Linked DNA regions of Oryzias latipes. The protein of the gene in region 1 purifies or fractionates together with the protein of each later gene. This does not show direct contact. Links are inferred from orthologs where the notes say so. Each region holds a gene or a part of one and is shown on either strand. Other genes may lie near its edges.

Region 1 (16,800 bases):
AAGACATAGCATGGACATACACACATGTACAAAGACACACAAGAAAACACAAACAAGGGAAAAAGCTTTTTTCCCCGTATTTCATCTTATTTTTGTAGCATTTAAAATCACTGTTAATTACTCCTTTGTGGGATGCAGTGATGGGTTATAGCCTGTGGAGGATTAAAAATAATGTTTTCTCTTCTTCTATCCACTGATGCTGTCCTTCTATTGTTCTTCTTCTTCTCTGGCTTGTGATCCATGGTTGGTAGTGGTAGGAGGCCTTCAGGTCTGAGCGTCATGTATGATTTTGTCTTTTTTTTTTTTTTCTGTTCATGGTGTTTTTGTGGAAGCTGATTTTAGCCATTAAAGTCAGTCAACAAGTAAACACAGAAGTCAGAGCAAAGAAGAGAAACACACAAATAAAGATTGTCTTTTTGTCTACTCAAAAAAAGAAAAATGAGCCGATTCAGTGGACTTTCTTCAGAGTTATGACTTACCTCTCATTATGTGTTTTTTTTTTATCCTCAAAGGGGAGATGATTGGGTTTATACGTGCACTCCAGCAGCCTCTTTATTTGCACAGTCAATCGTCTTCTGACGTCAAACTCTTGGAACGGCGATCGCTGAGCTTTGCCAGTTCAGGCATGAAATTATTCAGATGAAATCACCCTCTTCAATCTTCATCTGTTTCCCCCTCGGAGATGCGACGGCTGATCTGAACCTCTGACAACCTGGTGTCCGGATGGCTTGATAACCTTTCCTTTCTCGTTTCTGTTGCATTCCCTGCAGCTGATGGGAGAAAAACTCGAACGCTGTACCTGACTTTAGTTCCCCAGAACTTTTCAGGAATATGTTAACGATAGTTTATTCATGGAAGTTTTTTTGACAGTGTAATGCCTAACAACTTCTTTTTTGAAATACACTATTAACTCATTCTCAGGGGTGTTCATGGGAAGAAGAAAAGCCGTACTTGCTCTCACATGAAAAGAATGAGCGGAAAAGCTGGAAATTTGAATGAAAAATGTTGACAAAACATGGCGAAGAGGCGCCTGAGGGATGGCGGATTCCCTTTTAATTGCAACACCTGATTGTTCTTTTCTTTTCCTTTGGTTTTGTGCTACACCAGCTGCCAAGAGCGACTCATCTGATCACAAAAACCACTTAATATGTGCACAAAATCTTTTTTCAGTCTAAATAAGCTATCGTTTTTGCAACAAAAACATGTAAGACTTGCAAAAAGTAAAAGCAAGAAGAAAAATAACACCTGAGTGAGGAAATCTTCCTAATGCAACAAAAACATGTTTTTGTTTTGATTTTACATATTAAACTTTTATTTATTTGGCAAATATGAATGGACCTAATAGGTAATGGTAGGATAGAGGTTTGACAGCCAGTGTGTTGCAGTATGAGGAGTTAAACAACTGGGTGTTTCAACAACACACTGAAAAAACAGGCCCCTCAGAAATAAGTTAATAATTGTTTAGACACTAAAAGACATGTTTTCTTATTATATGATCATTTCACTGTTAAAAACTTTCTTGATAAGCTTGTTCTTCTTCCAAGACATAAAATAAGACGTTTTTTTCTTGAATCAGAGATGTCCTAACATTTTTAAGATTCATTTTTTGCAGCACACATAATGATTAAGGATTATCAATGTGATAAAATCTGCAATAATGCATGCATTTTGGCAAAAATCAAAGCTAATTTCATTCATCTACAGTGGTGCATTTTACCAAGAGGCAACATTCTCAAACAGCACTTTTAAGACGTGAAACAAAAACAGGAGCAAAACAGCTAACCTTGCCTCAGTGACCTAGTGGTAGAATGTCTACCCAATACCTAGGAGCTTGTGGATGAAACGCACAGCAAAGACTTTAAAAAAAAAAAAAAAGTAAAAGAATTGATCCTTGCTTGACACTGAAGTGTTGGATTGGGGGTTAAACCACAAAATGGTTCCCATCTGCAGCTCACCGCTCCCCAAGAACCGACAGGAGATGAGGCAGCTGAAAATAACAAGTAAGAATTTTTTTGTTTTTTTTATGGGCTCATTTGCTGACCAGCGGATTCCTGAAAGCTGGAGCATCAAAACTAAATGCTGCTTTTGGTGTTTATTGAAAATAAAAGAGTGTCAAAGATAAGAACCGTCTCTGCAGCATCCGTATAAAATGTTGGTCTCTCTGGTGCATTAGTGTCCATCGCATTGCTTTAAATTGAACAAGAATGTGACTCTATTTTAAGATAAACAGGAATTCTGACACTAATAATGATCTAGTGCCCTCAAAAATAGTTTACAAGGCTTTTACGTTTTTTTTAAGGTAATCCAGTTTTAACTATAAACAATTTTGCATCACCTTTGTTTTTGTGTTCTAAAAAGCTTTTATAAATTGTAGCTTCTTTCACTTTAAGTCCCATCTGCAACAACCATATACATATAATAACTGGGCCGGTGTCTCTCCCAGGACACCGCAAGGTGAAACTGAAGCCTAAAGTTGTGTTGCCATGTTGCAAGAGTTTTGTTTGTTTCTTTTTGTATCACTGGCATAACCCCCACACTCCTTAATCCCTATTACCAAAGCTCCTGAAACAGTTGACATGTTGAAGTTCACATGGATTTTTAATAACAGCACATTTTACAGTTTTACACGTTCTCGTTTTGATTGGTCAACCTTCCAGGGTCTCACCTATTGGCTAACTCGTATCCGTCCCATTGGTCACCGGACCACTCATGGATGAGGGAAAATTGTAATTTTACTGTATTGACTTTAGATTAAATGTTCTGCAATTCCTATCTCGAATCGCTATAAAGCTATTTGCATTAATCTTCCATAAAAAAAAAACCACACAAACATTATTAGATGTTTCTTTTCAAAGTCCAACATTTCCTGGCATTGGAGGTTCTGTAAATAATCTGAAAGAAATGTGTAAAGTTGTATTTAGAGACATGTCATATTTCCTTTTGATTATGACGGTTTGGACCATTTCTCAAAACATACAACATTACTACAACATATTTTGCTTAAAATGTCCTTTCTTTATTACAGATTAACAGATTTAAGCTATTATGAAATGCCCCATTATTTCAAACAGTGCCTTAAATTTAAGGTTTAAGAAATTTCTGACCCTCAGAGATTTAGGTAAAACTGTTTTAGTCCCTTCATGTTAACCAGCCAAATGCATTAGTTTCCTTATTAAATGTTTGGCATGTGCTGTGCAAAAACACTGTTTGAGTTTGAGGCAAAACTGGTAATATGCAGATTTAGCATTCAAACTGTTAATCCTTAACGTTCTCTCTACTCCCCTCCTTTTCCTGTGGGTCAGAAATCACCCACCCTACCAAAACCTCAAAATAAAGCAGCTTGATTGAATTTTAAATTACAATATGCGCTAGATGAAAGAACCTGTGAATTTAATTTAACTTAATTTCTTTTTTGAAATATTTCTTGTTACACATTACAAAGAAAGAAAGGGTGTGTAAGTATGTGTGTGTGTTTGTGAATTAGAGAGAGTTTGTGTGTGGCCTTTGAACTTTTCCTGGTGTTCAGATACTTTTATAATTCAACAATCTTTGCACCTCAGTGGTGTACAGCTCACAGGAAAACATAAACAAAAACAAAGCATCACTTTTTCTAGCATGATGGAGCATCTTCAGAGAACGTTATAAACATCTTAAGTTGGAAAAGGATGGGTTTTCTTTCTACAACTAAACATGCTAGTGGGTCATTTTTACCCGCGACACAACACAAGGGCAAACGCTTTGATTTTGAATACTGCCCTAGTGGGTTTTCACCACCGACATAAAACAGACACATTTCCCCTGTGAGGTCTTTAATGGCCAACGCTTGCTTGAAACATTCGTCAGCTTGGTTTCAAAAGTGTTATTTGAAACCCCTGACTTGTCAGTTTTGGGGCCATGATGCAAAAATGAATATCTGAAACTTTGTTCTGGGGGAAAACTGAAGTATATGAATAATAGATGAGCCTTGGCTTGCCATGTTTAGCCCTACTGTGCAAAGCAGGCTAATGGCTATCGATGTCTCTAGTTTGAAACAAATTGCTTCATATAAGAGCTCAATACAAAATGTGAACGAGTGGATTCCAGTGGAAGGGAGGCAAGGGAATGAGATTGTCTCTGGATATTGAGATGCACGCTTGGTCAACCGCTTCGCTGTCCTGACGAGTATCAGGTACCGGCAGAATTAGCCCAATGTAAAATTAAACCCAATCAAGCAGGACATCAAACATTCCCATGTCTCAGCCCCCTATGAGAGGAAAAACGAAGCAGAGCCAGAAATTAGTTTGGAGAGATGATGAAAAATTGGTATGTCCATGCATCCACATGACAATATCTCAGCACCTTCTTTTCCACATCCTATTATCACTTCATAATCTCAGTAGCTGCTGGAGGAAAACAATTTGGAGAAACAATTTTTGCCAATACGTTGTTGGTTTTGGCTGCAACCAGAAAGCAAAAGCCAGGAATCCAGATGGCAACCCCTTCTCCCCTTCTTTGATTCTGTCTTTCTCTCCCATCATGCTTTTTTTTTTTTTCCTTTCCAGCTTTCTCAGACACGTCATTAGGCGAGGGCTAATCTATTCTCCTCTTTCGCTGTACCTTTGTCTCCTCATATTCAACTAACAGGCATGATTTAGGAATTATGGAATTAGGCCAGCGCTCCCATCTCCGTTAATGAGGAACGGCATGATGAAAGAGCTTGATCCTGAACGTATCATTTTGGTAAGACTTGAAAACCCTCTCGCTCCCTCTTTCTCTGGCCACTTTTCATCACTACTCTGTTCCCGTCCCTTCCTGTCTCGCATGTGCTGCGAAAAGCACGGCACCTTGGCTGTAATTACAGTGGAAATACTAATTTCTAGCTCTTCAGGCACTGTTGGATGTGGCGTGAAATGGTGAAACGGCATGGCAGGAAAGTTAACTATGAGTCATTCACCCATGCACAGACACACTCTTGCAGAATCACACTCACAGGAGTCCAGATGGGCCTTGTGTTATTGCTGAATAATGCATGCAATGTAGACTCTATAAAAGTTACATGGCCAGAGAGAGCGCAAGTCATCAGTCAGACGCTTTAGGCCGTTTGGTAAGGTTAGCCTTGCAGCATGGCTTGTGCAAATTTGGAGTTGCACATGGAATTTCCAGTTTGCAAGTATCTGACTTCAGGTGACCCCTCAAGGGAAAATATTTAGCTGAGGTTGGGATAGAAAAACAATTTTCCTTTAGACTCTGTCAGCCGATATTGTGGCTGTCTTTCCAGTCACCTTGAAAATGCTTTTGTGGTGTAAACCATTAAACTTGAGAATTAGACGGAAGATTCAAAGCCAGAGGTTCAGGTTTCAGGCCATCTCTAAAATGCACTATGAAATATATCTGGCTGTCTGCGTCTATGCAAAGCAGAATGGGAGGGGGAGGTACGGGTGGAGGGTAAATGCTGCACTCATGTGGGGAAACAGAGCAGTGCCATGTTTTTCCTCTGGAGTCTGTAACAGGACATCAGGAGCTTGTGTGTGAAGCTTTTTAAACTGTTAAGAATGCTGTCCAAACACTAAAAACTGCATAAAACATGAAGCAGATTAATAAAATGGTCCTAGATTAACATAAATGTTATTTTAAAAGTTCATTTTTTTAGGTGAGAGAGAGATCTCATTGGGCCTGTTTTCATCTCACAAATCTTTCATTTACTTATATGAAATAAAAAAATGAGTCAAATTTACATAAAAGTTATCAAAACAAAAAGCACCACACATTGACCACAAATGAACTCAAATATAACACAAAAGAGAAGCGAGATTAATAATTTAAAAAAAAAAAACAACAGCTGACATTTACAACAACCGCTATAGGGAACAAAATATCAAAAAGAGTAGTAAAATGTGGTAAAGTTTGCTTTTTACTATCACCATGAACTGAATCAGCAAAGTTTGGGCTGATCACGTGACCTAAGTTTCAGTGTAGTGATGACATCTTGGTGTGTAGGAAAATGGAACTCCAAACAATTTCTTATCCTCGTATTTCAAACCAACCCGGAAAATGGTATAAAGTTGATATAAAAGTCATATCTAAGTAAAATGTGTGTACTTGAATGTATATTCAAGGCAGCATATTGTGACAGTTACAATGAAAGACGGGACGGTGCCAAAGAAAACCTTTAAAAATGGTAAAAAAATGCTAATCATCGTTTAAAAATGTTAGATAATATTTATAATACGCTATATTTTAAAAAATGTGTTGTGTTAATATCTATGAAATAACTTTTCGCGGCATAACACGTACATTGTTGATAACTAAAAGCACGTGTATTTGAGAAAAGCGTTAATTCCGACGAGACCCAAAGGCGTCATAGGTTACGTTATTCACTTCACTGTGGGGCCTGTGAAGGAATCCAGGAGTGACCAGCGAAAAGTCCACATACCAGAAGGAAGGAGGAGTTGGTAACTCTTTTATCTCTTCCGAAGGGAGTCTGAAAGTAAGTACTGAGTATCAACAAACGTCTCACTTTAGTTCACATCAACTTAGTTGGGGTGGAAAGTTGACAGGGAAGCGGAACTAGCCTATTAGCAGGCTAGCAACACGTTAGCTAGGAGAAAAAGTTTGCTTTCCTGGATTAAGGAAAAACTACAAACCTTCCAACCATGTAAGACGAATTAATAGACCTTTTTAGACTGTCTGTTTCACTCTTATGTTTTCTTGTGTGTGAAAATGTGGAGTTTTGTGTTGTTTGAATGACTTCCCCTTGCTTCAAACTAAGGTTTGGGAGTGTTTGGTTAATATTACCCATTTAACCAAACATCATCTGTTTGTCAGGTGATCTGCTTTACCTGCTGGTTCAGCTTCTTGAGAGATAACCGTGGTCAGGTGCAAAACTACTAGCTTTTGCTTGTTAAATATGTAATACGGAAATGATTAACCATTTTGGGGTGTTTTACTTCCAGATTTGTACCATTAACTGGGTCAAAAATCGTAATAATGCCACTTCTTTCATCTGCAAATGGGTAAAATAAAGATTCATGCTTTAGAGTCTCAGTTTCGACGCTGAACCATGATGTCATTGGTTTTAAATTCAGTTTAACTCCCAATTGTGAACACAAGTCCTTGCAATTGTGGTAAAATTGAGTTATTCGTAGAAATGAGGTTTTAAATTGAAAAAAGAGGCAACATTTAGGCATTGAAATGAAGGGAAAATGGTTAAAGTGTGAACCAAGCATGACTTAAAGCAAGAGAAGACGTCACTTTGAGGCTCATGAAGATCTGGAGTAACAGGTTTGGGTTGAAAAACAAGAAACGTTTTTCTCCTGTTTTCTTCTTGGTCATTTCATTTGCTGCTGTTGCTGTGAAGAAAGTGACATGAGTGGGTTTGTCAGTGTTGCATTATTCCCCATGTGGCCTTTTCTGCAGAAATCTATGCCTGGGTTACTTCATGAACAGGAAATGAAATCAGTTTGTGGGAACATGGATTAGATCTAATGGGTTTTTTTGTGTGTGATAATATTTATGCCTCGTCATAATTACCTTAATTTGTGACCCTTTTGTGTTCCCTGAAAGCTGAATATTTATGAATATATATTTATTTGGGGAAGAATTCTAAACATCCCAACAGTTTGACCTTTGAATCTTTACCAGCAAATCATTTTTTTTTTAGCTAAAATTCTGCAGCAGGTATTAAACCCATAACTGTTATGTGTAAATTGTTGTAGCCAAATTCAGAAATCTGTTTGAAGTTTACACTAAACATGTGCCCTCTTGAATTATACCCTCTCGGGTTGGGTAAAAACAGCATAAGTCAACATTTAGGAGCAGAACGTATTGCCAAGTACACTTTCATCTTGATTTTTATTTTCTGTGGATGGCTGCAGATTTTGATGGGAAGCGAAGCGAGTTTAAAGGTTATTTGCAAAACAGGAAAACGTCAACTTTAAGGGGAAGATGGGAGGACAGGACAGAACAGGACAGGAAGACAGATTATAGGAAATCCTCCGGCCTGGTTGCTTTTTTTTTGTACCTCTCCAATGTAAAACCCATAAGGTGGGAATTATTTTTCCCTGTAATTTATTGAAATAAACCTTTTAATTTTAGTTTACAATAAACTTCTTCTCCTACTAACCATGTGTCTCTAAGGAGGCTTTTTTGAACACATTTTCTATAAACCATTGTTTAAAACCCCAAGAAAATGACACCCATGACCGCACTCGCGTGTGGAAATCATTCTAGGCTGTTCAACAGTGTTTACAACTGTGAGCTGCATCACCGTTTTCTAAAACCATCTTCTGCATTTCCTTGAGTTTAACATGTGTGTTCATATTCTAAAGCAAAGATGAAGAACAGGCAGCCTGCAGTGAGCGGGCATGATCGGCCCTTCCTGCTTCCTGTTACTTTCTCAGCGCTCGCTCTGTTTCAAAAGTTGAGATGTCTGAACACTGAACGCTTGGCCTGCATTCACAGGAACACATTTTAGTTTGTAATGACTGTAAAATGTATTATTTTTAGCCACACCAAGGTTTCAAAATGCCATTAAAAGACCCTTTATAATGTCAGACTTTTACATTTTTGGAAATGGTTTATTGTATCTTATCATGACAGTTCAACGTCTGTTGTTTCTCATATTCATGTCAGTTTTCTGGATCCTTCATTGTTGCATTCATTAACATTGTTGCTAAGATCTCCACATTTTATCAGGGGGAATTGTGGTTTTGTTTCTAACACTCCTTAGAAGACAAACAAAAGCCATTTGTTTAGGTTTTGCATCCCGTTTTTCCATCCGTATGGGTTCAGATGACTTCTGAACAAACGAGATGACGTGTATTATCTCAAACTCTTTGTTTTTGAGTCATTTTCTCAACATTTAGTTGTGTTTTGGTGCATAGATGATAACTCTTCTATTTGTCTGAATCTTTTCAGTTTGTGTTGTTGCACAAAATCTAAAAAGGAACTGTCAACTCCTTATTTAAAAGAAAACAATAAGAATAGTAGATTTTAATATAATTACTATCCTTTAAAATACAATAGAGTATTACACTACAGCTTTTCAGATCCTGTTACCTTTTTTCTGTGATTATTTATGTGAGGAAACAAACCTAGCAGTTTAGAATCTGTTACTGTAGCGTTTATAAGCCGTTTTATATTTGTTAAATGAGGATTTGTTTTATACAGTTTGGTTTTATATTTAACTATCATCCTGTTTACATTGCCTGGATTTGGGAGCTACACGTTTTTCAACAGAAATGTTTATACTATTTTCTCTGGAGCTTTGAATTTTAAGTCATGTCATTCAAATAAATTTTCCATTAAAACGTCATTAAATTCAAATGTTTGTCCAATCCATTCACCTTGTTTTTTTTTCATCATCACCCATAGTCCCCTGCTCAGCAGTTGAGAGTTGGTCCTCTTTGTCTGCTTTATGGTAATCGATGGGATACTAATTAGTACCTGATGACCTCTGGCCTTCTTTCAGGCCTCAGCATATTGAGCTCGGTGCCACGGGAGGAGCCCCCAAACAAGACAGCAGCAACATGGAGGACATGAGTGTGGAACAGATGGCTCTGAGGGCCAACCAGCTGACGGATGAGGTGCTGACTCCTCACACTCCTGCTCCTGCTCCGTCCCTCTGTTTCTTCTGTTTCTCTCTGGCTACAGATTTCTGTATTTAATGAGCAGCCTGTGACAGCTGAGTCTGATTTTTCATTCAATCTTAATGTTTAGATGATGCATGAATGCAAAAAGCGGTTGGAAATCATTCCGTTTGGATTAGAAACGCCGTAAAATATCATTTTTATTGTTAAAAGCGACATTTTTTTCAATGTTTTTAGAAGTTTCTAATGTAACTGAGGGTAAACGGTTTAAACAAAGCGTTGCTCTCTGTCACCTTACACGATCTCTGTGGTCAGCCGTTGCATCCAACGGCCAAAGCTGCATAAAGAACAGGAGTTCAGGTCTCAAACTCCTGCAGTCCGTCTAAACGAGCTGCATCAAAGGCTTTTCTGGTGGGGGCGCCGAGACGTGACCTTCATCTCTGAAGCAAAACTCAGAGATTTTCTCCAAAAATGAATGTTTCAGCAGCTTAGAAGTGTGGAAGATAGACGAACCCCAAACTCTGACGCTCATTATTAACACATGATTATCTCATTAGTTCAGTCTGTTCAGCCTAATGGATGTCGTATTTAATAATGAACTCATTTATCTTCGATAAGGATAACTGGGAAAGACTTTTCCTATATGTTCAGGTTGGACAATAGTTTCTGTAATCCTGTTATCGGTGAGGGAGAATCGACATCTAAAATGTTTTAGCCTTTTAGAAAGAGCCTAAAAGAACCCGTGTTGAGACATCGCTTCCACTCAGCGTCTGATAAATGGATGGAGGTTACAGGACGCGTCGGAGGGATTCTTCCTGCTTCAGTCTGACGGCTCCCTCTGCGATCCGTCATCTTCCAGTAATTACTGAATCGGCACTCGAGGGCATCCCGCCGTCAGTCAGCTGTTGCTCTGCACCTTCATGCAGCTCACACTGGTTGATGTTTGTCTGCTTCCTGACTTAACCTGCACCTTTGCTTCTATCTCTTCCCTCTTTCTGCTGCCGCCTGGTTTATTCAGGAGATCATTCAGGGGACCTGGGAGGGCCCCTCTGCTAATTCCACTTACCGCTCGTGCTTTGGGTAAACACTCGGAGACGCTCTGACCATGGCTGACAGTTTATCAGGACAATCTCAGATAAATGGCAGCTGGAGCTCAAATGTAAAAAACCAAGTGGCCAACATTTTCTGTCTAGTTCTAAAGTTAAAACATGTGATTCATCCTGTTGAGCTGCAGCCATCATTTTCTTCTTTTCTTCTCTGACAGTCAACTAACATCTTTTTTTTTAACAAACTGTCGTTTTAAGCTGTGATTTGTCTGAGTTCAAGTAAAGGAGGTCACAGACTCTCGGTCGGAGTCGCAGCTTCGCTCTGCTTCCTAACAATAAGAGGCGCAGAAGGGCGGGGCCCACCTGACCTGACCGCATTCCTGCATGTGCGCTGCGGTCGTCAGGCTTTAGGCTGACAGTCAGAGATCCATGAACGTCTGCTCTGGAAAGACATTTCCATAAAACTCTGGTCTAATTCAAAACAATCAACCATTTGCTTAGTATTTTTCATCATTTATTCAGTTTGTTACTCATTTCTTCTTATGTCAAACGTGTCAAATAGGAGAAAAGCCTGAAGTAACAGGTCTTATTTATGCAAAAGTTGAACCATTTTTTACTTTAAATCTGTAAACATTTCTGAACAGGTTTTATTACAGGAAGTTGACTTTTATTCTCCGTTTTAAAGTAAAAAGAAAAGTAGGACTGAACTTTTATTTGTACTCTTAGATGCAGTTGCTGTTTTTTTCTTTATAAATAACTGAAGTTGACGAGGCCCAGTCTCATTTTTATTCATTTGTAAATGAAACGGATGAATTTCCTGAGACTCTCAGAGAAAATATTAAATTCTATTTTACAGTTCATGATTCAGTTCAATACCGTTTTTACTGTCAATTATTTGAAACCAATTTGATTTTGATTATAAAAGAAAACAAATTTCACAGAACTATTTATATAAATGAAATAAAAGAACAATTTTCATTAATGAAGTTGAGTTTTTACATTAAAAACTAAGTGATCGTTTATTTTTTGTACACACAATAAAAACAAAAGAACTTGTTTGAAATGAGGACATATTTTTGGATCTGATTACTTGACGTTGATTCTCTTTGTTGATATCATTTATTGTTTTCCCCCCTCTAGCTCTGATGTTGTTAAATAATTTTAAAACAGATATTTTTTGTTTACTTCAGGTTTTTTGTTCTTTAAAAATACTTTTAATATGTTGTATATTTTAGGAAACATATTTTTATAGATGAATAAATAAATGCTTATAATTTAATAAAACAAGTTCTGAATGTTCATAAACTGTCAAAATGCAAAAATCAACCTTTTCTTTTTTTAAACAGCATTTTGAATTGGGCTTTGTTCAAATTAAATGATACTTTGTACTAAATACTTTGTAAATACTTACTTACTTTGTAAATACTTTGTTTTGTTGTTCATTTCCTTTATTTTAACTCAATCTATTTAATCACCTCTTTACCTTCAAATAAAAATCAAATATCTCAGTAAATAAAGCAAAGAGTTAAAAGAATAACTACGTTTGAGTGTCTGTTTACATCCAGTCAGAAGCGTTTCAGCTTGGAAGGATTAGATGCGTTTTTGTTTTTGACAAAGACGACTGAGAGCTGCGGCTGGACTCCAGCTGCAGTTTATGTTTGATTCTTTTATGTAGCACAGAATCCCGTTTAGCTGGTGATCCTTTTTCTCTCTTTCAAACTGCTGCCATGTTTTCTCCTGCAGTCGCTGGAAAGCACCCGGAGGATGAGGCAGCTGGCGGAGGAGGTGAGGCTGCTGCTGCTGCTGCTTCTCTATGAGCAGAAGTCACTCATGGTGGACAAGTTGGCGTCTTTTGTTTCTCCTTTCATCAAATAAATATAGAGTTCAGTTTTATCCTCTCAACCTTTATGACACTTAAAGCGATGAACGTAATTGGAAAAATGTTATGCCTATTCATATTTGTTATTTCAAATTTCAAATCAAATGTCTTTACTCTAAATCATCTCTGAAGGATTGTTCATTTTTTATTTTATAGAGCCAAGAGACTGGGGGCAAAACTCTGGATATGCTTGATATGCAAGGAGGTAACGCAGCATAAACATTTGTTTATCATGTTGGAGAATAGAGACGGTCCTGAACAGAATCTTCCTCTTCTTCACTTCAAAGTTTTTGCTCTTTGATCCTGGAAGCAGATCTCAGGATTTCAGGGTCTGCTTCCTGACCATTTTGTTTAAAAAAATATATATATATTCACTAGAATTCAGAAACATACTTTACAACAAAAGTAGAAACGCTCATTGGTTCCTTTAGCTTTAGACGTGTTTCTGAACTGAATTTCTTTTAGCTTTTAGCTCTGATGACACAAAAACTGGATCCATTTTTGCTCTGCAAGCTGTTTCCAACAGCAGAGATGAAGATGTTGAAGTGTGTTTGTGATTCAGAGCAGCTCAAAAGAGTAGAGGAGGGCATGGAGCAGATCAACGAGGACATGAAGCAGGCCGAGAAAAACCTCAACGACCTGAACAAGTGCTGCGGCCTCTGCACCTGCCCCTGCGACAGGTACGCCGCTGCTGCTGCCGGCGCCGCCGCCGCCACTCAGAGTGCAGGAAGAGTCCTGTTGGATTGTTGGACTGCATTCATGCCAAATGTTGGAATCAGGAAGAATGCTGCACGCGTGCTCACATTGACATGTTTTGCAAAAGCGGAACATTTCATTTATTCATTAAAGCAGAATCTGTTTTATTCTTCTGATCCATTTCTGTTTTTATTCCGAGTTCTTAGTGAAAGTGTGACTTTGAAGCTTTTGTGTGACTTGTTGTTTCTAAACACAAATCTTCCTCAAATGCTTTCACTTTGGAGAAGGAGATACTTTGATTATCAAGGCATAAGGTAGGAGGCGTTCTGTGATTCCTGCCTCTTTATTTAGCATCTTGTAGAAATGGCTCATCCTGAAAGCAGTGTGTGTTTTAGTGAACCTGTTTGTGTGGCGTTCCCTGACGTTTTGGCGCATAAATGCGGTTTATATTTGTTTACAGAGTCACATCTCTTGAAAACGACCAGCGTTACAAAAAAACCTGGGGCACTGGAGGGCTGGAGGGGGAAAATGATGGCGACGGCTCAAAGGTGGTGTCCAGGCAGCCGTCACGCACTCGCAACGGACAGCCCGCCCAGACCGCCGCCAGGGGGACCGCCGCCGCGCCGTCGGGCCCGTACATCCAGAGGTGGGGCCTCGAACGGGTCCCCGAGTTCAGAGACCGCCGACCGTCGTTTCAACAAACGTGGCTTTGTGCTGCAGGGTGACCAATGATGCGCGAGAGGATGAGATGGAGGAAAACCTGGAGGCGGTGGGCGGGATCATCTCCAACCTCAAAGGCATGGCGATGACGATGGGACATGAAATAGACAAGCAGAACGTACAGATCGACAGGATCACCGATAAGGTGAGAGCCAGAGATCCACCAACCATCTGGTTTTATTCTCAGCTGAAAATGGTCTCATAACATTTTCAATAAATACATTTTAAAAATCCTAAAGAGAAAATCTGAAGCCTCACATGAACCTTAAGGAAGACAGACAAACAAGTGTCCTTAAAGCAAGTCAAACTAGAGAAAACAAGATGTTTTACTTTTTTAAAATAAGTGGAAAAAAACAACTAGAATCATTTATTTTGGGGGATTAGTTGAAAAAAGTATCTTTTAAGACAAAATAACATTTCAAAATTGGCTACTATCATTTTCATTATTAAATTATCAAAATTCTCACCGGAAGCAGATGTTGCTGAAAAAAGTTGTTTATAATTAAAATGTATAACATACATTCTTATACTTTTCCCCCAAATATATCCTATTTCAAGCTCTCGAACTTTCCTTTTTTTTTAAAAAAAAAATCCTCTAGATATTAGACTAGAATTACACATTTGAAGAGAAATTTCTCTTTAAAGTTGTATAATCATTAGTCCCCAAATCAATTAAAAAGCCCAGAAAAGTGATATGACGTAAATAAAAATAAGATGCTTAAAGATCAAATGAGCCGACAAGATATTCAGGATAAAAATCTTTTGTTGCAGTGCAGCTCAGTTCTGAAACTGTATTCCATTTATATTTACGACATTCAAAGTCTCAGACGTTCAGGGGAAAGATGAGAGATGGAGTGGAGACTTGATCAAATAAAAGGCTTTCTGGGGGAAAAATGTGGATTTTTAAATCCAGAGTTTGTTGTGAGTGGAGAGGATTTTCAATGTTTCGGCTTTTCTTTTATTTGTGAAAAAGCAGCTCGTTTTTATTTATTTATTTATTTTATTTTTTTAAGGACACCCAGTCCAGTGTCGCACAGTTTCATCATTCGGGTATTACTTTGAAACAGGTCAATGGCCTTGCTCAAGGCCACGGCTTTTGAGCAAACACACTGACTCAACCTGTTTTCATTTACTGATCTTCAGTTAATTATGTTAGCTTAGCAAAATTAAATCAAATGAGCAAAACATCCGGTTTCTTTACATAGAGCAGTGTTTTTCAACCAGTGTGCTGAGGTGGTCAGGTGTGCCCTCATAACTGATCTAAAAACATTTTCCATCTCCTGTATATCAGCTCTCTGTTCATCCAAACAGGCCCTGATAAAACACTGCGTAGTTAGGAGTATGAAAGATCATAAATTACTTTTCTTTTTGTGTTTATTTGATTCTAATTAAAGACATTTTGATAAGAATGACGGGACTGCAATTTAGCCCCAGCTAAAGCTGTTTTCTGAGAAGTCCCGCCCCTTTAACTGTCTCCGCCAATCATTCTTGGTCATCAGTCTGACCAATCACAATTGGTTAAAGTCTTCACTTCCTTGTCATGATTTGGCTCATAAAGTCGCTCAGTTCTAACAAAAATACCAGCTGAAGCTCGTCTTTAGCTGTGTAGCTTTCCACAGAATCCGGTGTCAGACCGTGGAACAAGTGAGCAAAACCATGAAGCTCAGAGACGATAGTCTGTCTGTGTTCGGCGGCAGGTGTCACTACATCTCCCATGATGCATTGGGTTAAAGTGACAGCGTCTCGACGCACAAGGAGTCTTTCCTCTTAACGTCTTGAAACCACAACGAACACACATCAAACAGTTTTTAAATCTTCTAACTTTTTTATTACATCTTTTAGATGTCACAAAAATGCATGTGTGATTGCAGAGGGCCTGTAGATCAATACAGACTATAGAGTTTCTCCTTTTTTTTTTTTTTTAAATTTTGGATGCTGGTGTGCCACAGGTTTTTTGTCAAAGTTAAAGTGTGCCGTGGCTCAAAAAAGGTTGAAAAACAGACATAGACGATAGTTGACTTTTTGAAGAACATAATTTTGATCAGAATGTGTAATAAAGAGATTTTGGCTCACAGTAGATCCCTGAGGGGGAAGCATGGCAGTGGAAGTATCATGGTAATTCCAAAGGTACAATTACTGCAGTGTTTTTGTTAGCTTTCAGGCACTGGAGGATAGAATCCTTAAGGCTTTTCTCAGGTTTATAAATGTTTTTCACTTGTTAACTGTAGTTGGAATTGTTGATACATTCCCGTCAAATGAAAAGTGAGCTAAAGAAAAGCTTGTCTACTTTTATTTTCTTCCTCTTCAGGCGGACATGAACAAAATGCGCATCGACGACGCCAACCAGAGAGCCAACAAGCTCATCAAATGAACGCCGACGTCTGCTTCGTTTTTTTTTTTTCCCCTCCTCCACTTTGGAGCCTCTTTTGCGACCTTCATGCACACAGTTTGTTTCCACACACGTCCGTAGAGCAAATCTGTCCTTGTTGGCAGCACAGCTGTCTTTTTTTTTTTTTTTGTTCTCAAATGTAGATGAGAAAACTCGACCCCCGCTGGACTGACCTGCCATCCCAAAACAGGTTCCTTCTCCTGGAAAGAACTGTGAACTGCTGTTCTGAGGTCAGTGTGGACGATCCGTTCTGGACGATCTCCACGTTGCCTCTGGAAATCACCCGCATCTTCCTCAAATCTTTTGTTTTGTCATGTAATTAAGTTTATATATATAATCGTGTATTTTTTTGAAATTAAGAGCCTATTTAATTATTCTTTGAGCAGAAATGACTTGTGAATAAAGCTAAACCTTTGGAAACCCTTTGTTCGCACGTCATTTGGGCCCATCCGTTTATTTAAGTTGTTCCAAGCCAAAACTGTTCCTGGAGAGAATTATGCTGGG
Region 2 (16,438 bases), on another chromosome or scaffold:
AGACTGGAGCACACGCGAGCGCACACTCGCATGTCATTGAGTGATGCCTGAGGCGGCCAATGCGTGTGAGAAGAATAGGGAAAGTCACTGCAAGTGGCTAAAATATGTGGAGGGGCGGGGCCTAGAGATAATCGAGTGCGCGTTAACGTCTGTGGGAAGGAAACGGAGACAAATCATCACAACCTGATATGTGCGTCTGAGCTATGAACAGCTAGCGAACTATTGATTCGTTCTTTCGACCTGCGGCTAGTATACCAGTGCCAGAGTGTACAGCAGGGGTCTCAAACTCGCGAAGCAAACCACGGCTCTCATGCACGGCTGTAACGACAGCACACCGCTCCCGCGGGAGATGGCGAAGCTGCAACAGGAAGTTGGAGTTGTCCTTAACATTCAATTTAATAATTATGCCTCTCCCCCTAAGTACGATCTGTGATATTACATCTTTTATAATTATTTCAATGTTTTGTGATGTATGTAGCCTTTTTTTAATCAGTTGGTATTTTAAATTATTTTAATTGATCAGTGAACTACAAAAACCCATCAGGACGCATGTCCCATAATGCATTGTTTTGTAGTCTGTAGGGCAGCTTTCAGTCAGTTCAGTACTAAATTTCCAGCTGTGTTTGGTCAGGTTGGGGTCTTGCTTCCGCCCCTTTCTGGTGATATTTTGGTTTTGATTGACAGGTGATGTTAGAGCAAAAACAAAAATATGTCTCACACCAGGTGATCTGTGCAGCGTTACGTCCATCTGGGTGATCTCAAATTATTGTGCATCTTGGCTGCACCTATTTGGTTTCGCCAACATGAATTTCCATCCCCTAATGTTTACATACATTTAAGTATTGTTCTTAACTGTGAAATGACCGAAAGGTTATTACGGTAATCACTTGTTACTAAAAACTTTTTTTATTCTAAATTTATGGTATATTGTTTACTATTTTTTTTTGTCATGACAGCGATGCTGCTGTCAGTTTACCTTCTTGTTGCATCTTCAAAAGTGCAGAATAAAATCTGACACTGAATTTGAAAAAGCAGATTGTAATTTTTGCATCTATAATTAAAGTATTTATTTACTTTATTTATTTTATTTAGTGTATTTATAATACAGTGGAAATTAGAAGATCTGGTTTGCATGTTGATTTACGGTATGCGCCCCTAAATTTTCAGGTTGTGCCCCTAAAATTTTCATTCAGGGGCCACAGTGCTCCTAGTGAAAAAAGTTAGTCTGGAGCCCTGCATACTGTGGATCTATTCTGACACTGCTGTTGGGCTTCTATGATTTGACTTTTATCACATCGTATAACAAAAAGATTGCAAAATGACGACGATTGGTTTGAAGTCTTTAGTTTTCCTTAATATTGTTGCCTGATTTATATTAGTTGTTTCATTTAGGTGGCACAGTCATGACAAGCAACGTAATGGGATTTAATAAGATGTTTTAATAGATTTATTTCTCGAGCATATAACATCATATTAAGCAAAAGAAACCATATGTTTTGTTTAAAGTTGTGTTTTTTACTTCATTGTAAAGTTAATTTTTTTTTCTTCACAAGCAAATGACCAGAAAATGAATATTCAGTAGATTAGGTAGCATCTGCAGAAAAGGGAATTTTAGATTTACAGCAATCTAATTTTCGAACCATGAATTGATGTTCAGCCATAAGGTGGAGAAGCAGAAAAGAGGCTTTAGGTGTGTTCATGCTTTGTTTACATTGGTGTTCTTGGTAAATGCGTGTAGCCATCTTTGCTAGTCGTCCACACTTACTGACTGTCAAGCCTGAGAGTTTACCTCAAATGATTGACAGACAGTTGGTTGCTCAACCTGCTGAGCTTTCTATTGAATTCCTTTGGAAAAAGTCACTTATGACAACTATATCTCTAAACAAACTTGGAGACAGAAAATTAACTTGCAATTATTCAAAATTATCTCTGCAGCTGTTATCCTTTTTTCCAAGCAAGGTCCAAAATTATAAGTATTTTTGGAAATTATCTGTTCATTTTTATATATTTTAAATCAAATCAAATCAAACTTTATTTATAAAATAGCGCTTCTCATGCACTTTGTGCAGCTCGAAGCGCTTTAACACTAAAAACAGTAAACACACAACATTACAATAAAAACCCCAACCCACCCTTCACCCTTCCCACTCCCCTCCATTAAACCACATGACCCATGGCTCCCACGTACAATGAAATATGACTATGTAACTGTAAAAGAATAAATAAATAAATAAATAAACAAGTATGGCTTAGCTCTGCTGTGAGGAAACAGTATCTGGGAATCCTTTCATACCAGGAGCCAGCCCGGCCACCGGAACATCGCTACAGTGCCCACCCAGACCGGGACAACACCGGGGTCCCCCTCACAGCCAAAAGCTGTAAAATTAGACCCCAGCCGCCCCAGCAAGGGCAACAACTGCAGCAACAACCACTGACCAAGCCGGCAATCCCTGGAGGAAAAGATCCCCTCAAGAAACACTGGCGCTAAAATCATAAGATGCTAAAATTAAAAACATAAAAAAGAAAAAAGAAAAAAACATAAAATTGAAAATAAGATGCATAAAATTAAAATAAATACATAAATAAAATAGCCTATACTAAAACTAATAGAATAAATTAGCAGTTAAAATCAACTAAAAGCTAAATTAAAAAGGTGGGTCTTGAGCCTCTTCTTAAAAACCTCTACTGTCTCTGCGGCCCTGAGGCTCTCCGGAAGGCCGTTCCACAGGCGAGGACCGTGATGGCAGAACGAAGCCTCACCATAAGTTTTGGTCCTCACCTTGGGAACAACTAAGAGGCCAGTACCGGAAGACCTCAAGGTCCGCGAGGGCTCATATTTTAAAAGAATATCATTTAAATAAGAAGGCCCAAGACCATAAAAACATTTATAAACCATTAAAAGAATTTTAAAATCAATCCTGAAACGCACAGGGAGCCAATGCAGCGATTTTAAAACCGGTGTAATGTGTTCCCGCCCTCTGGTTCTCGTCAGAACTCGTGCCGCTGAGTTCTGTAGAAGTTGTAAGTTTGAAAGAGACTTTTTGGGTAAACCAGAGAGCAGGGCATTACAGTAATCTAAACGATTGAAAATAAAAGCATGCATTAGTACCTCTGTGCTGGCAAGAGAGAGGAACGGGCGGACTCTGGCAATGTTTTTGAGATGATAAAATCCTGTCTTAACGACATTTTTAATGTGTGGGATAAAATTTAGCTCAGAGTCAAAAAGTACGCCCAGGTTTCTCACACATTGAGAAGGTTTAAAATTATGAAGATGTGGTAAAATCATCTCTCTCTTGTCTTCAGAACCGATGATTAAAACTTCAGTTTTGTCCTGGTTGAGCTTTAAGAAATTTTCTGCCATCCACAACTTTATATCTAAAATGCAGTTTAAAAGAGTGTTGACAGGTTCCAGGTCATCAGGAGACACGGCGATGTAAAGCTGTGTATCATCAGCATAGCTGTGAAAGTCAACGCCGTGTCTCCTGATGACCTCCCCAAGAGGCAACATATACAAATTAAAAAGTATTGGCCCTAAAATTGACCCTTGGGGAACCCCACAGCTTATTTCGTGGATTCCTGAAGAGCACATATCCATACTTACATAAAAGTGTCGATCTGTCAGGTAAGAGTAAAACCACTTAAGAACATTTCCAGAAAGGCCCACTAGACTACTAAGTCTGTCTAATAAAATCTGGTGATCTACTGTATCAAAAGCGGCACTAAGATCCAGTAGCACCAGAACAGAAAGTTTCTGTGAATCGTAGTTTAATCTAAGATCATTAACGATCTTTAAAAGAGCCGTCTCTGTACTGTGGCTTTTCCTAAAACCAGACTGATATTTTTCTAAAATTTTTTGGGCATTTAAAAACTCATGCAGTTGAGTAGCGACACTTTTTTCTATTATTTTACTTAAAAATGGTAAGTTGGATACGGGTCTATAGTTATCCAGATTTTTTGGATCTAATTGACTCTTCTTCAGAAGGGGCCTCACCACCGCCGTCTTACAGGCAGAGGGGAAGACCCCCGTCTGAAGAGAGCAATTTACTATATTTAAAAGCTCTGACTCAAAGAATCCATAAAATGTTTTAAAAAGTGAAGTGGGAATGGGATCTAAAAGGCAGGTTGTAGTGTTTACTTGGGATACAACTCGACCAAGCATCTCTGCATCAACCAGGACAAAACTCCCCAGTGTTTCTTCTGGTAAAGACAATGCTGGAGGTCTGTTAAGATCAGTGTTTTGCATGGATGAAATGTTTGATCTTATGGCATTGATTTTACCCATGAAGTGGTCTGCGAAGTCCTCACATGCAGCATTAGATGATGGCATGGAGGACTTGTTGAAGTCTTTGTTTATTAAAATATCAATGGTTTTAAAAAGAAATCTGGGGTTGTTTTTATTATTTTATTATTATTTTAGGTTGATGTACCTGAACAACCTGTTTCGTGGAAACACTGTAAAAGGACCTTCTGTTTTCCACATGACACACTGTCATGCCCACATCGATTTGTGTGAATGTGTGGCAGTATTATTGCAGGACATCTGGGGAAAATTCCCCTTTAGTTACATAAAGCGATATGAAATTGAACTTGAGTGTGAACTTGCCTTTCATTGTTCTCCACCCTTTTGTTTATGTATTGACAAATTTATTGCAGATTGTAGCTCACATACGTTTAGTATAAAAAGTCTCGAATGTAGTTTCTAAAACTGAAAAAGTGTCTATAATTATAGAAGTAATGAAGGAAATGTGTTTTAATAAAGTCTTAAAGATAATGGACTTGCTTTTTAGGGAACTAAGAGATCTTCTCAAAGCCCTCAAAGTAGAAAAAGGCCTTTGACATTCAAGATGTGGATTGAATATTTTCTAAATTGATGATGTGAAACCAATTTCTGTCTAAAAGAAAAAAATCTTAAAATAAAAAATATCATATAAATGTTTGTTGAATCAGGTCAACCCTTGGTCCAGAAGGCTCCGGGGCAGCCTCGAGCAACAAGCGTCTGCAGCAGACGCAGGCTCAGGTGGATGAGGTAGGACGAGTTTTTGTCTTTTCCATGGAGATGGGCAATACATCAACCTCGTGTGTGTATGTTTGTGTGCCTAGAAAAAAAATTTGCACACAGTTTTCATCCATCCAATTTATAAACCTGCCTAATCCTGTTTGGAGTCAGTGGGTTGTAAGAGCCTATCCAGTAACTGTTGAACAAAGGCGGGGTACATCCTTGACAGTTCTCTAATTCAACAGGGCTACACAACCATACACAAGCTGGGATTTGAACCTCCTCCCCATGAGTGCTAACCACTAAACTGTATGAAGCCCTCATGCTATTTCCAATAAGTATAATACCTCTACCTACTATGATAGATGTTTTCTGCATACTTCTTCCCATGGATCTCAGTTTATATGCCAGGAGGGTTTTAATTAAAACTTTGCAGTTGTTTCAGATATGTAAACGACCTGGCACTCTTTAGTGCTTCGCATGGGCCCTTTAAGATTTACCAAGCCTTCAAAAACCTTAACTTGAGTTTGCAGCGTAGTGTCAACTAGCTGCCAGATATTTATGTAATCACCACCTTCATGGTTATGTAAGGCCTGCATGCATGCGTCTCCTGTTCTCTGCTGCAGTGGGCTGGGGCAGTTGGCTTTGTAAATCAATGAAACATATAGGTCATATTCATATAGAACACAGTAAGGACATGAATGTTTGTCAGATTATTTTTTATTATTAATATAAGGTCAGTTTTTTTTTTAAATTAGAAATTGATTACTAGTGTTTTGTCTCCATCTTATTCTAACCTAACTTGTAAACACGTTGTGACTCTGCCATCGTAATACGAATGTTTTGCTTTTCCTGTTGTATCATCAGGTTAGAAAGTTAGAATCAAACAAACAAAAATCTTTTTTTCGTTCAAAATCTTTTGTAGTTGACAATTCAAATACATTTTTTCTTGCATAACATCCAAAGTAAAAGCACATCAAACTGTTCTTTTTTGCTTTTTATTTGTTGTCTGTTCTTCATAGGTGGTGGATATCATGCGTGTTAATGTGGACAAAGTGCTGGAACGTGATCAGAAACTGTCGGAACTGGATGACCGAGCAGATGCACTGCAAGCTGGAGCTTCCCAGTTTGAGACCAGTGCTGCTAAGCTAAAGAGGAAATACTGGTGGAAGAACTGCAAGGTAACTCTCAGTTTTGCCCCAAACTGTACTTCACAGATTCAACAAACCACCAGTTGTTGATTTTTTTTTTTTTTTTTTTTTTTTTTATCGAAGCAGCAATAATAATACAGATTAACCGAATTTGTTTGACAAATGATCTGTTTGCCTAAATGTGTTTAATTTTTGTGGCGCTCGATTCTCTGCCTGCAGATGTGGGCCATCCTGATAGCTGTCATAGTCATCATCATCGTCATCATCATTAGTGAGTATCAAGACATCGGGAAAAAAAAAGTCAGAATTGTTAGTATTTTTATGTCAGCTGATTTAAAGAATCTGTCAAATCAGCATATTTTTAGGTTGTACTCGATCCTTTTTTACAACTTAACAACTATGTTTGAATACAAAAAATAATTTGTACTGACTTTTTGTGACAATCTTTCTTTTACAAGCCATAATATTCAATGTTTTAAATATTTATAATTCTTTGTTGCTCTAAATGGCTATAATTTTAGAAGGACATGCCCAGTAAATGCATTGTCTTAACTTTTCTATCCTTTTCTTTGTAGTTTGGTCTAGCACGTAAAACAGCCAGCGGATGAGACGTGGAGGCCATGATGAAGAGCAGAGAAATGGGGCAGTGTGTGAACATCATGCCACATAAATCACAAAGAATATCTCACATTGGTGGCTGCTGACCTCCACACGAATTATCTGCAGGGGTCTTCATTCCTTGTCCTGCTTTGTTTTGAATTTATGTACGTGTATTAAGGTTGTGCCAGAGTTGAGGTTTGCCAAAGTTCCACACCTTTAAAAGAATGCACCATGGATGACATCAGAACATTTTAAAATAAAAAAAAAACTATACCACATTCCAAAACAAACTGCCAGAAAAGTTACAAAAAATTTGTTAAGAAGTAAAACTCTTCTAAAGTCTATAAGAAATAAAAACCCTTACTCTATGGCAAGCATGCACACACATAGATTTGAACTTCAAGACTGGTATGAAGGTTATTGTTGTAAATTTAACTCGGTATATATTTACATTTTCACATTTTATTAATAGCATTGTATAACATTTGGAAGGCTAAAAAAGTAACATGCCTACAAAGATGTTCTGGTAGGGTTTAGAGCTAATTTTCTTACCAGTTTAAAGACGTTTAACGGCAGGGCTTCCCTTTTATTTTCTAGATATCGCCATCTTTGGCAATGGTTACAGTTCAGAAGTGAATAGCTAAATCTAATGCGTCGCTTCATTTTTCCACACAGTTCATTTCTTTGTAAGAAAATTCTTTTAAAAAAGAAATTTAACCTTAAATCTTCTTCAATAGGATGCTAACTAACCTTGTGGTCACTCCTGTCTTTCTTCAGCTTATTTTGGACACCACTCCCTTTGCTGTGCAGCTGGTTTGAACTTGTTTTTTAACGAGTGCCTGCATGCCGAGACCAAACAGCCCGACTCGGGCAGCCTCAAAATAACAACAGTCCACATAACGTATTATCCATTTTCTAGATTGTATCCAACACTTTTTTGTGTGTGAAATATCGAGGCATAACAGTATTAGAATGTAGCTTTTAAAATAATATTCTTTTTCTCAATGAAGAAGAACTGCCAAAAATACAGCCATATTCCAACTGCTGCCATTTAAAAAACAACAGTGCCTTTCTAAATGTGCTTAAGCCTTGCATTCATTAACTCAAGTGAACCTGGTTTTTGGAAAAAATATTTGTAATATTACATTTTGTTATTAAATTGCTTTCATTTTTCAATAACTCAATGAATATGACACCTATTTTATTTCTTGGTGGGGACTTTGATGTTGCTACTAATATGTATTTTCTTTATATATAAATATTATCTTTACCAAGGACATTATAAATTAAATAAAAAATGAAACCTGCATAAAAAGTTCATAACGAATGTACTAAATTCAAAGTTACTGAGGTGTAGCAAAAGTAAATTAAAAGTAAAAATATAAAGGCAAACCCAGACTTAAACCATGAACCTGGACTTGCACGATGCAGCTCAGTTCAGGGCGACTCGGTGCTGTAATGCTTTTTTAGAGGACGGTCTGTAAGACAAATAGACCAACTGGGCAGGTGGGCTTACAAATATTGGAAACGCCTCATTGGCACTGCACTTATGAGAAGCCTTCGGTTCAGCGTTCATACAGACTTAATGGGCAACTATACATTTTTCAAAGATTTGTAACACTGTCTCGTGTTGATGGTGCGTTGAGAACAACAAGAACATCCATATTTTAAAATACTAAAAAAAAAAAGGTTTTCAAGGTCTGATTTAACTCAGACCAGTCTGAAAGTCTTCCCAACAGAGATAATTACTGATACCGTGCCTTTTTGACATTCTACCCCTGTTCAGGTATTCATTCTTACACCAACACTGGATTTGTGGTTTTGTTCATTTTGAAATGTTAATGTTTTGATGCATATTTTTAGAGCATCTAGTTTTTTCATCTTCAGTTTGATTTGCTCTTTCTTTTTCCTTGTTTCTATCAAATATAGATAAACTGCTGCCTTAAATAAAACCTTTAGACCAATGAAATGCTTATTTCATTTCATTTCTTATATGCCTTTTTTTAACCACTTACATGCTTTCCTATTTTTAATCTGCTGTTTCCCTCTTACAATTAATTTACATTTAACTCATGAGCTTCGCCAATGTATACTCTACTGGGAATATGTTTGGAAAAAAAGTGCAATTTTCTTCTGTGGCCTAAATTATCCGTTTGAATAAAAACTAATAAAGTCATTTCTAAATTATTTTCATGTTATTTCTCTTTGGGAGATGGAAATTCTTAATCTTTTCTAATATATATATATTTTTCCCTCCTTTTTTGTTTGGAGTCTAACAATAAAGAAATGTCTCCTCACTTCCAGAAGATGGCTAAAGTTTGATTTTGGTCCCTGCAGAGAAGATAACTCTTACAAACTCATTTTTTTTTAGTTATGAAATGCAACACAACTTAATTTAAATCTTTTTCTGTGTGCAATGTCAGGAATCTTCCATTTTATTTTGTTTTTTATATTTAAATCTTTTAATCGATCGATCCTTTATTAGAGTCAAAGCAGCGGCTCCGTTCATAATTATGCATTTGCAGGGGCGTGGATGTAGACTCATAGGGGTTGGTGCCTGCGCAGTTGACATGTTTTCACCCTGTTGTGTAACATGGGGATCCACGTGAACCGCCAACAACTATGGGGATAAGCACGCCCACTACAACTGTCTCCATCCAATCAGGCGCCAGATGTAAGTTTGGCCTGCCCAATTAGCGTAGACTGGGCGGAGTTAACGCGATGCCAAACTCACGTTGCACGAATGTGTCAAGCGATTCGGAATGGATGACGTTTTCTCTGGGGAAACTTAAAAGCATTTAATGTTTTGATTCTATCCGGGACGTCGTTTTGTGGAATTGTTGTATTTTGAAGCTCAGATCGAATTGGACCGAAAAAGGTAAATATATTAACCCCAGAAACTATATTTTCAAGTGTCTCTTGCTAACTCCACGAGCTAGCTGACACCTAACCCCGTGTTGTTAGCGAGGTGGCATTGACTATAATAAACAAAACAAGTTCAAGCTTGCTGTTTTAAACTTTACCGCTAACCCAGTCTTGCTATTATAATGTACACAGTAAATCAATTCTGAACAAGTGTCGTTGGTTGGTGATGTTAATATATATTATTAGCTTAGTAACATTATGTCTGCCGAAACAAGTAAACGGCGGCTAAACCAGTCAAGCTAGCAGAAATAGCAGAACATAACCAAAGCTGGAAATGTTCCAGAGTTTGTGTCCCACTGTACTTTTGCATCATCTTGTATCAACCTAGGCTAACTAAATACAATTTGTAAATAATATTTTATTAATTTATGTACGGAGGGAAGGGAGGGGGCGTGTCTTTTTTTCCTCCTTGCAGATTAATGTTGCATTGACGTGCGATTCTTTTTGTAAACAAAATCAGGTTTTTGCCTCGATGATTATTAGTACGTGTTGTGTCGCACGCTCAGGGCCAAGTGTTTTGTGTTTAAAGGGGGTTAGTGGGTTCATAGTGGGAGGGATTTGTGCCCCGTCAAATGCGTGTCAGAGTTGTTTTCAGCCGTTACCGGTTGTAGGCTGCTGAGAGTGGATTTTTTTTCCTCCTCTTTTCGATTACATCATATAAACTGGGCATCGGTGTCTGTATGTTTTTTATGCTGACCTCCATTGAACATCTGGTGTCTAGTCTGCTTTTGCACATTGTTCTATGTAGGCTATTTTTTTAAATAGTTATAATTGAAGGGTTGCTATAAATAAATTAACTTACTTTAATTTAAACAACTAAAAGAAGATCTGATGTTATCAAGATCAAGCTGATTCTACTTAAAACAGGTGAAATATGTTTTTTTTTTAAGTTAGTCATTTGATAGCTTATTTGAAAGATTACTATTATGCCACTCTAATGAAGATTGTGGCATTTTTCCCATGACGAAGGACATAAATAAATAAAATTAAGCTTAAAGTTTTATTTCTGAGGATTTCTTTATTCAAATCGTTGTGATTTAGGAGCACCTGAAAATATGCGGTTGGAAAAAGCCTGTAGCTGTGATGTAGGTGCTAGGGGCTGTAAGCTAGTGGGAGAGAGTGTAAACAAAGGGATGATGGGAAATGAGGGAAGACATACTCCACTCCTGCTGCTCTGCTGAAAACTCCGTCTAAAAAAACGACACGTTTTTATTTCGTTTTGCCTACAAATGGCACAATCACATTTAAAAGACCACTGCGAACACTTCTACCATAGATCAAAAGTTGATGGTAATGGGACTTTAAAGTTTGAATACTGCAGGAGTAAATTCTGCAAATACTGTTCTGGCATTGTTACACATGTCTGATGGCTGTTTATTTCAGTTTGGGGAAAAAGCTATAAAGTCTTTTAATTCTGTTTATTGACTTCCTCTACTAAATTATGTAGTAGCTTGTAGCAGATGCTGTGTAAGTTTTTTTTTGCTGTTCTTTTTTTTATATTACATTCTATTTTCTTATTCTATTTCTTTTAAAGCTTGCAGCATACAGTTTTGCATTGACTTGTTATAAAAATGCATATATGTACCTCTAAAAGGAACATATGACGGCAGGAAGAGCTCAATCTCTTGAGAATGGTGAAGAAAAACTGCCTGTTTTTGTACTGCATAAATAAATATCAGAGGACCAAAAGTACTTTTTGTGGGTTTTTGTGTCAACACAAGCCAAATATTTTGTCTAAGTGCACATCGTCACACTCTGACTTAAGATTATGTAATGCTGGAGTGACAACATGATAAATACTTTGAGTTATGTTCATTGGTTTCACTATCTGTCCTGTCGATGTGACAGTTGTCAGAGCTTTGAATTTTTCCTGTTCACATTAGCATTATTGCTTGATGGTTTATTACGCTCCAGATGAAAACACTTAAACTGGTCTTGAGAAAAAACAGGACTTTGGGTGTATTTTGTTTTTGCCAGGTCTATTGTAATCACGTGATGAAACACACGAGGACAGCCATGGGTTTCCACTCCCACTTTGTAGTCGTGGGTGGATCTAGACACTCCCTAACTTAGTCATTTACTTTTAAAGAAATACCATTCGCACTGCAGCAGACGGTAGTATAAAAGAAATGCTAAGAAAGAGGTTGATAGGCGAGAAAAAAGTGTTAAATAGCAAAAATAAATATTCATGTTTGTTCAAATAAAATAAAAAATCAACAGAAATGTAATAAATCCCCTTGTGTTTGTTTGTCCAGCTCTTAAAGCAACTTGAGAAATGATATCTATATTACCGTACATCAAGCTTTAGCAGAGAAGTGTCTTGAAATTACTTCAGAAAGAAGTGACTGTTACAATGTGGTGCAAGACAATGTGATGACAGTAGTTTTTAAAATGTTAAGCAGCCAGTTTTTGTAGTACCAACTTTAATTTTAGGACCTTCTTTTTTAAAACTATTTATATTTAAAAAAAAAAAAAAACAACCTATGACAAATTTAAAGGGCCTATACCATACTATTTTTAAGCCTTTTTTAGTAAAACGCATCCATGTATATGATAATATATTACACAAATAAAACACATTTGGAATAGAATTAATCGTTACGCTCTTATTGAGAACCAAACCTTTTTTTTTTTTAACATGCATGAACAATACCTTTACTGCCACACGTATAATGATTTTTATTGCAATGTGTCCTTTTTATTCATGTTTTCAAAAAACACGAGTATTTTAATGCAGCTCAAACTTCCTTAAATTAATTTCAACCCTAAACCTAAAAAGGTATGCGTCCATCCATACCTGCTTCACCTTATGTAAAGTCACATGGTTGCTGGACCCGAGGTTTGGCTTCATTCTGAACAGGTTGCCAGTGCAGCATAGAGCCACATGCAGAGACAGACAACCACCGGACACACACTAGCTCCAACAGCACAATGTTTCAAAGCTATGGAACATGACTTTTGGGCTGCAGGTGGAAGCTGGAGAACCTGAAAAACCACAGTTTAGACTCAGCTGGGTTTAAAACCGTACTTACTAGCTTTGAGGAGACACCGCAAATCATCTTTCCACATGCAGCCAGCCGTTACATTTCTAAGAAAAAAATGAATGAATTGCTTTTTGATCTCAGTTATGTTATAAATTAATGAATTCTTCAAAACGATTTCAATTCAAATCCTTATCATTTCTTTCGTTTGACAGTGCATCCAGGATTTATCACCAACTGACTGAAGACACCACATGGAACTTATTCCACTCTCTGAACACATGAAGACCCCCGAGTGCAACTCTATCTGGACAAAATACCATTAATGTGCGATCAAAGTGCGGTGATGCCAGGGGGTGACAGTGGTCTGGATGGAGAGAAGTCTGCTTTTCTGTCAACCACATCAGAGGGTTTAGGGGAGGAGAATGAAGCATCAGTGGACCAGGATGGGCGGGCTCATCCTGAGCACCTCAGGGGAGAGGAGAGTGGAGCCTCGGGAGGAGAACTGGGGCAGGAAGACGAGGAGATGACGAGTGGTTCTCATGATCTATCCTCTTCTGCCAATCACAGCCCTGGAAGTGCTGCAGGATCCACTGTGGCTTCTTCAAAGAGGTACCGCTATGCTTTCATATTACTGTTAAGAATTAATGAGGTCAATATTTGAAAGACAGACATTTGTGTTGTACTGACCAGCACTAAGGTTCCCTTAAATTTGGGCTTCTGTGAATATCCTAGAATATTTTTAAAATTATTTTAAGATCTTAACATTTTTAATGCTTTCTTACATAGACGTGAAATGACCTTTTGATGATAACTACTAAGTATTCTCTTTAAATACACCCTGCCACATTAACAGCTGTAGTTCTGTGTTGTACAATTATTTTAAGGGTAATTACTTTATACTTCTTTGTTTATTATTTTTACATTTTGTCACATTTTAATGCCAAAGTACTACCTGATGAGGTGTTTTTTATGTAAAAGAGAAAAGCAGAAAAGCGTGTTTATCAAAGGTAAACATAGCAGGCAGATGTATTGCTTTAATAATGAAATAGATATTAGACATTACGAAACTTCTTTTTATTACTTTAGTGATAAATTGGCAAATCCCGTGCCTAAGCTCCACACACTGGTTACCCCCCCCCCCAAAAAAAAAAAAACTTTAACAAAAAAAAAGAGAAAATAAAAAAATTCCCCCAAGCTTCTGAGTTACCAACAAGTTTTGGTACAATGATGAATAGCAACTATGATGCATCAGTAAATAAAATATATTTGAGTGTAGGAAAAAAATCTATTCTATAAAATATCGCAAGATTTTATTTGGAAATACTGGTGTTGATTTCAAATGCTGCTAAAACCATTTTAAGCAAAAATTTAGCTCAGCAACTTACTTCTGTGTTTCACGTAAACCCCCAACTAATAGTTGATGGAGATGATGGAGATTGTTTACTGGTTTTTCTGTTATTTAATCCAGAAGTCCTGCTAAATTCCTAAAGTACATCTAGGCAGTGTTAGAAATAAATCGCACTTTATTTCCGTAACCATACCAAAAGAACTTTACCGGTAGAAGCACACTGAAGTTTTATTTTTTTTATATATTCTAAAACATATTTTGATGTGGAAACGTTTAGTGTTGAAAATATGTTTCATTGTTTATCTAAAAAAGAATTTTTCTTTGGTAAAAGTATATGAGATATACTTGCAGTGCATAATGTTCTGATAGTTAAATAAAATGTATTTGGTTGATGTGAAAGGTGTATTAGTATTAACACATATTTTTTTTAAGTCTTGGGATGTAATGCAGTCCATATCTTATTGCCAATGCACAGCCCATACAATTGCTAAAAATCTCCCTTGAATTTTTAAGTCTTGTTCCTTGTACTTCTATTTTTATTTTTTTCACAGTGAGCATGCAGATGGAGACAAAGGGCAAGCCCACCGAGAGGTGATGGTGACGGTGGCTGAGATGAAGAAGAGGCTTCCGGTGGACAAACGCAGCCGCATCAAAGTCAGCACTGTGGAAGCCTTGCATTATGCACTCAACTGTGTCAAGCAAGTACAAGGTGATTTTTGCTGATTAGATCTCTAAGATAACTTTTATGAGTCCTTATTGAATTATCTTGGTTGCTAAGATGTTTTTTTTTTTTTCTACTTGTAGCTAACAGTGAATACTACAAACTACTCATGCGAAATGGACAGGATGACCAGAAGGATGCCACACTCTGCACTCTGGAAGAGCTGGAAAGAGTCACCTCTGAGCACACCCTCAAAAACACGGTATGCACAAACGCACACAAAAAATAACAACATGTAGACGCAAAGCTCTCAAGATCTGATTCCTGCTCTCCTTCTTTGTACTTTAAAAGCTAATTTCCCCTCTGACCTTGTGTTGTTACCCTGTCAACAGTGTTTCACAACGTTTGTCGCCCCGGCAGGCGTGTGGGTTTACAGCTTTGTGCGCTCATCCATTCCTCTTCTCTTGTTTCTGCGCAGGATTCCTTCATCGTGGTGTTCTCGCTGTCCAGTGGCCACGTGCTTTATGCATCAGAGCAGGCTCCCAGCATCCTGTGCTGCAAGAGGAAGTTTCTGGAATCTGCCAAGTTTGTGGAGCTGCTCTTCCACCAGGATGTGAATGTTTTCTACTCGCACACGGCGCAGCCACATTTGCCCCCATGGAGCAACTCACACACTGGTATGCCTTTTAAGGGAGTTTAGTTTTTACAGATTTTCTTTTTCTGACTTTTTTGTTAGAATGTTTTGTAGGGATGGGTACCGAGCCCCGGTATTGAACGAGCCCCGGGGCAACATTCTTCAAGACCGCAGTATCGTTAAGATCTGACCTCAACGGTTCGGCTATCGGTACTGGAGAAGTCGCTTTTTTTGTGTGTCCCATAAGATATAAACGTTATCTGGCATATTTAACTCACCAAGTCAGTCAGTTGTCTGTTAATTAATGATGATATTAATTTTGCTATTCTCGCTGAATAGAGGTCTATCTGGCTATTTGTGTGCACAGGGGGGCGGGGCTGTTGTTCAGACAGTATGCGGCGCGCGCACACAGGAACCCTACCAAAGCTATACTTTGGCGGAAAAGCTAAACGGTGCAAAATGCGGCTCTTTCTTCCCCGTGCTGCGGCTCTCTCTGGTTAAGTAAAATAACTATCATGTTCTCAGATTGGCAGGAGGAAGAGAGCAGCGTGAGCACGTGGAGGGGGCGTGTCTGCAGCTGTGAACGCCGACCAGTCTGTCATGGGATGGAAAGTTTTTCTAGAAAGACAGTCAGTGTCGATCTCGTAGGGGACACATGAGCACCCTAAAAAAAACTTTTATCCCCTATAATAAAACCACCGATTTCTGCGTAAAATTATTTAAATTTGCATCAGGGTGCCCTTACTATGCCAGTCACCTTGCTGCTATAATGACCGTATGTTGCTCTGTGTGTGTAGAACACGCTGGAGGGGGGGGGTTGCACATGGGGGAAAACAACGAACAGGTAGAGAGGCGGGGGCGGGGCTTAGACTCACCGCTTATGATTCCAAACTCTCAACAAACTAACAGCTGCTTCCTAATAAAAAAAACAGTTGTCATCCATAAAATTAATGCAATTTATTGAATTTACTGGATTTAAAGAAGAAAAAAGATATAGACAGGAGTCTGCATCAAAGTGAATATGTTTCCATCATCTCATTCATCTTAACTCTGGGTGTTTGACAGACGGAAAAGTCCTTTCAAGGTTGTGGAAAATGGACAAAAGATCAAAGGAAACATCACCCTCATAAAGAATAAAA

What was found.
Region 2: the proteins of snap23 (region 1) and vamp3 purify together in Homo sapiens (affinity purification with western blotting; 6 studies listed by BioGRID and IntAct, with this or other methods). This does not show direct contact. The link is inferred for Oryzias latipes from reciprocal best matches to the Homo sapiens genes SNAP23 and VAMP3.

The regions. Positions count from the first base shown.
Region 1 is NC_019880.2:4,939,785-4,956,584, reverse strand, and holds the start of snap23 (synaptosomal-associated protein 23), read left to right. Parts: upstream 1-6,503; 5' UTR 6,504-6,632; coding exon 6,633-6,634; intron 6,635-9,448; coding exon 9,449-9,563; intron 9,564-12,355; coding exon 12,356-12,397; intron 12,398-12,647; coding exon 12,648-12,696; intron 12,697-13,053; coding exon 13,054-13,171; intron 13,172-13,647; coding exon 13,648-13,833; intron 13,834-13,907; coding exon 13,908-14,052; intron 14,053-16,215; coding exon 16,216-16,278; 3' UTR 16,279-16,800. UniProt on the Homo sapiens protein: Essential component of the high affinity receptor for the general membrane fusion machinery and an important regulator of transport vesicle docking and fusion.
Region 2 is NC_019863.2:28,597,022-28,613,459, forward strand, and holds the end of vamp3 (vesicle-associated membrane protein 3), read left to right. Parts: intron 1-4,947; coding exon 4,948-5,026; intron 5,027-6,018; coding exon 6,019-6,177; intron 6,178-6,366; coding exon 6,367-6,418; intron 6,419-6,722; coding exon 6,723-6,739; 3' UTR 6,740-8,934; downstream 8,935-16,438. Other genes in the region: period circadian protein homolog 3, read left to right, coding at 12,979-13,265, 14,556-14,713, 14,809-14,927, 15,144-15,342. UniProt on the Homo sapiens protein: SNARE involved in vesicular transport from the late endosomes to the trans-Golgi network.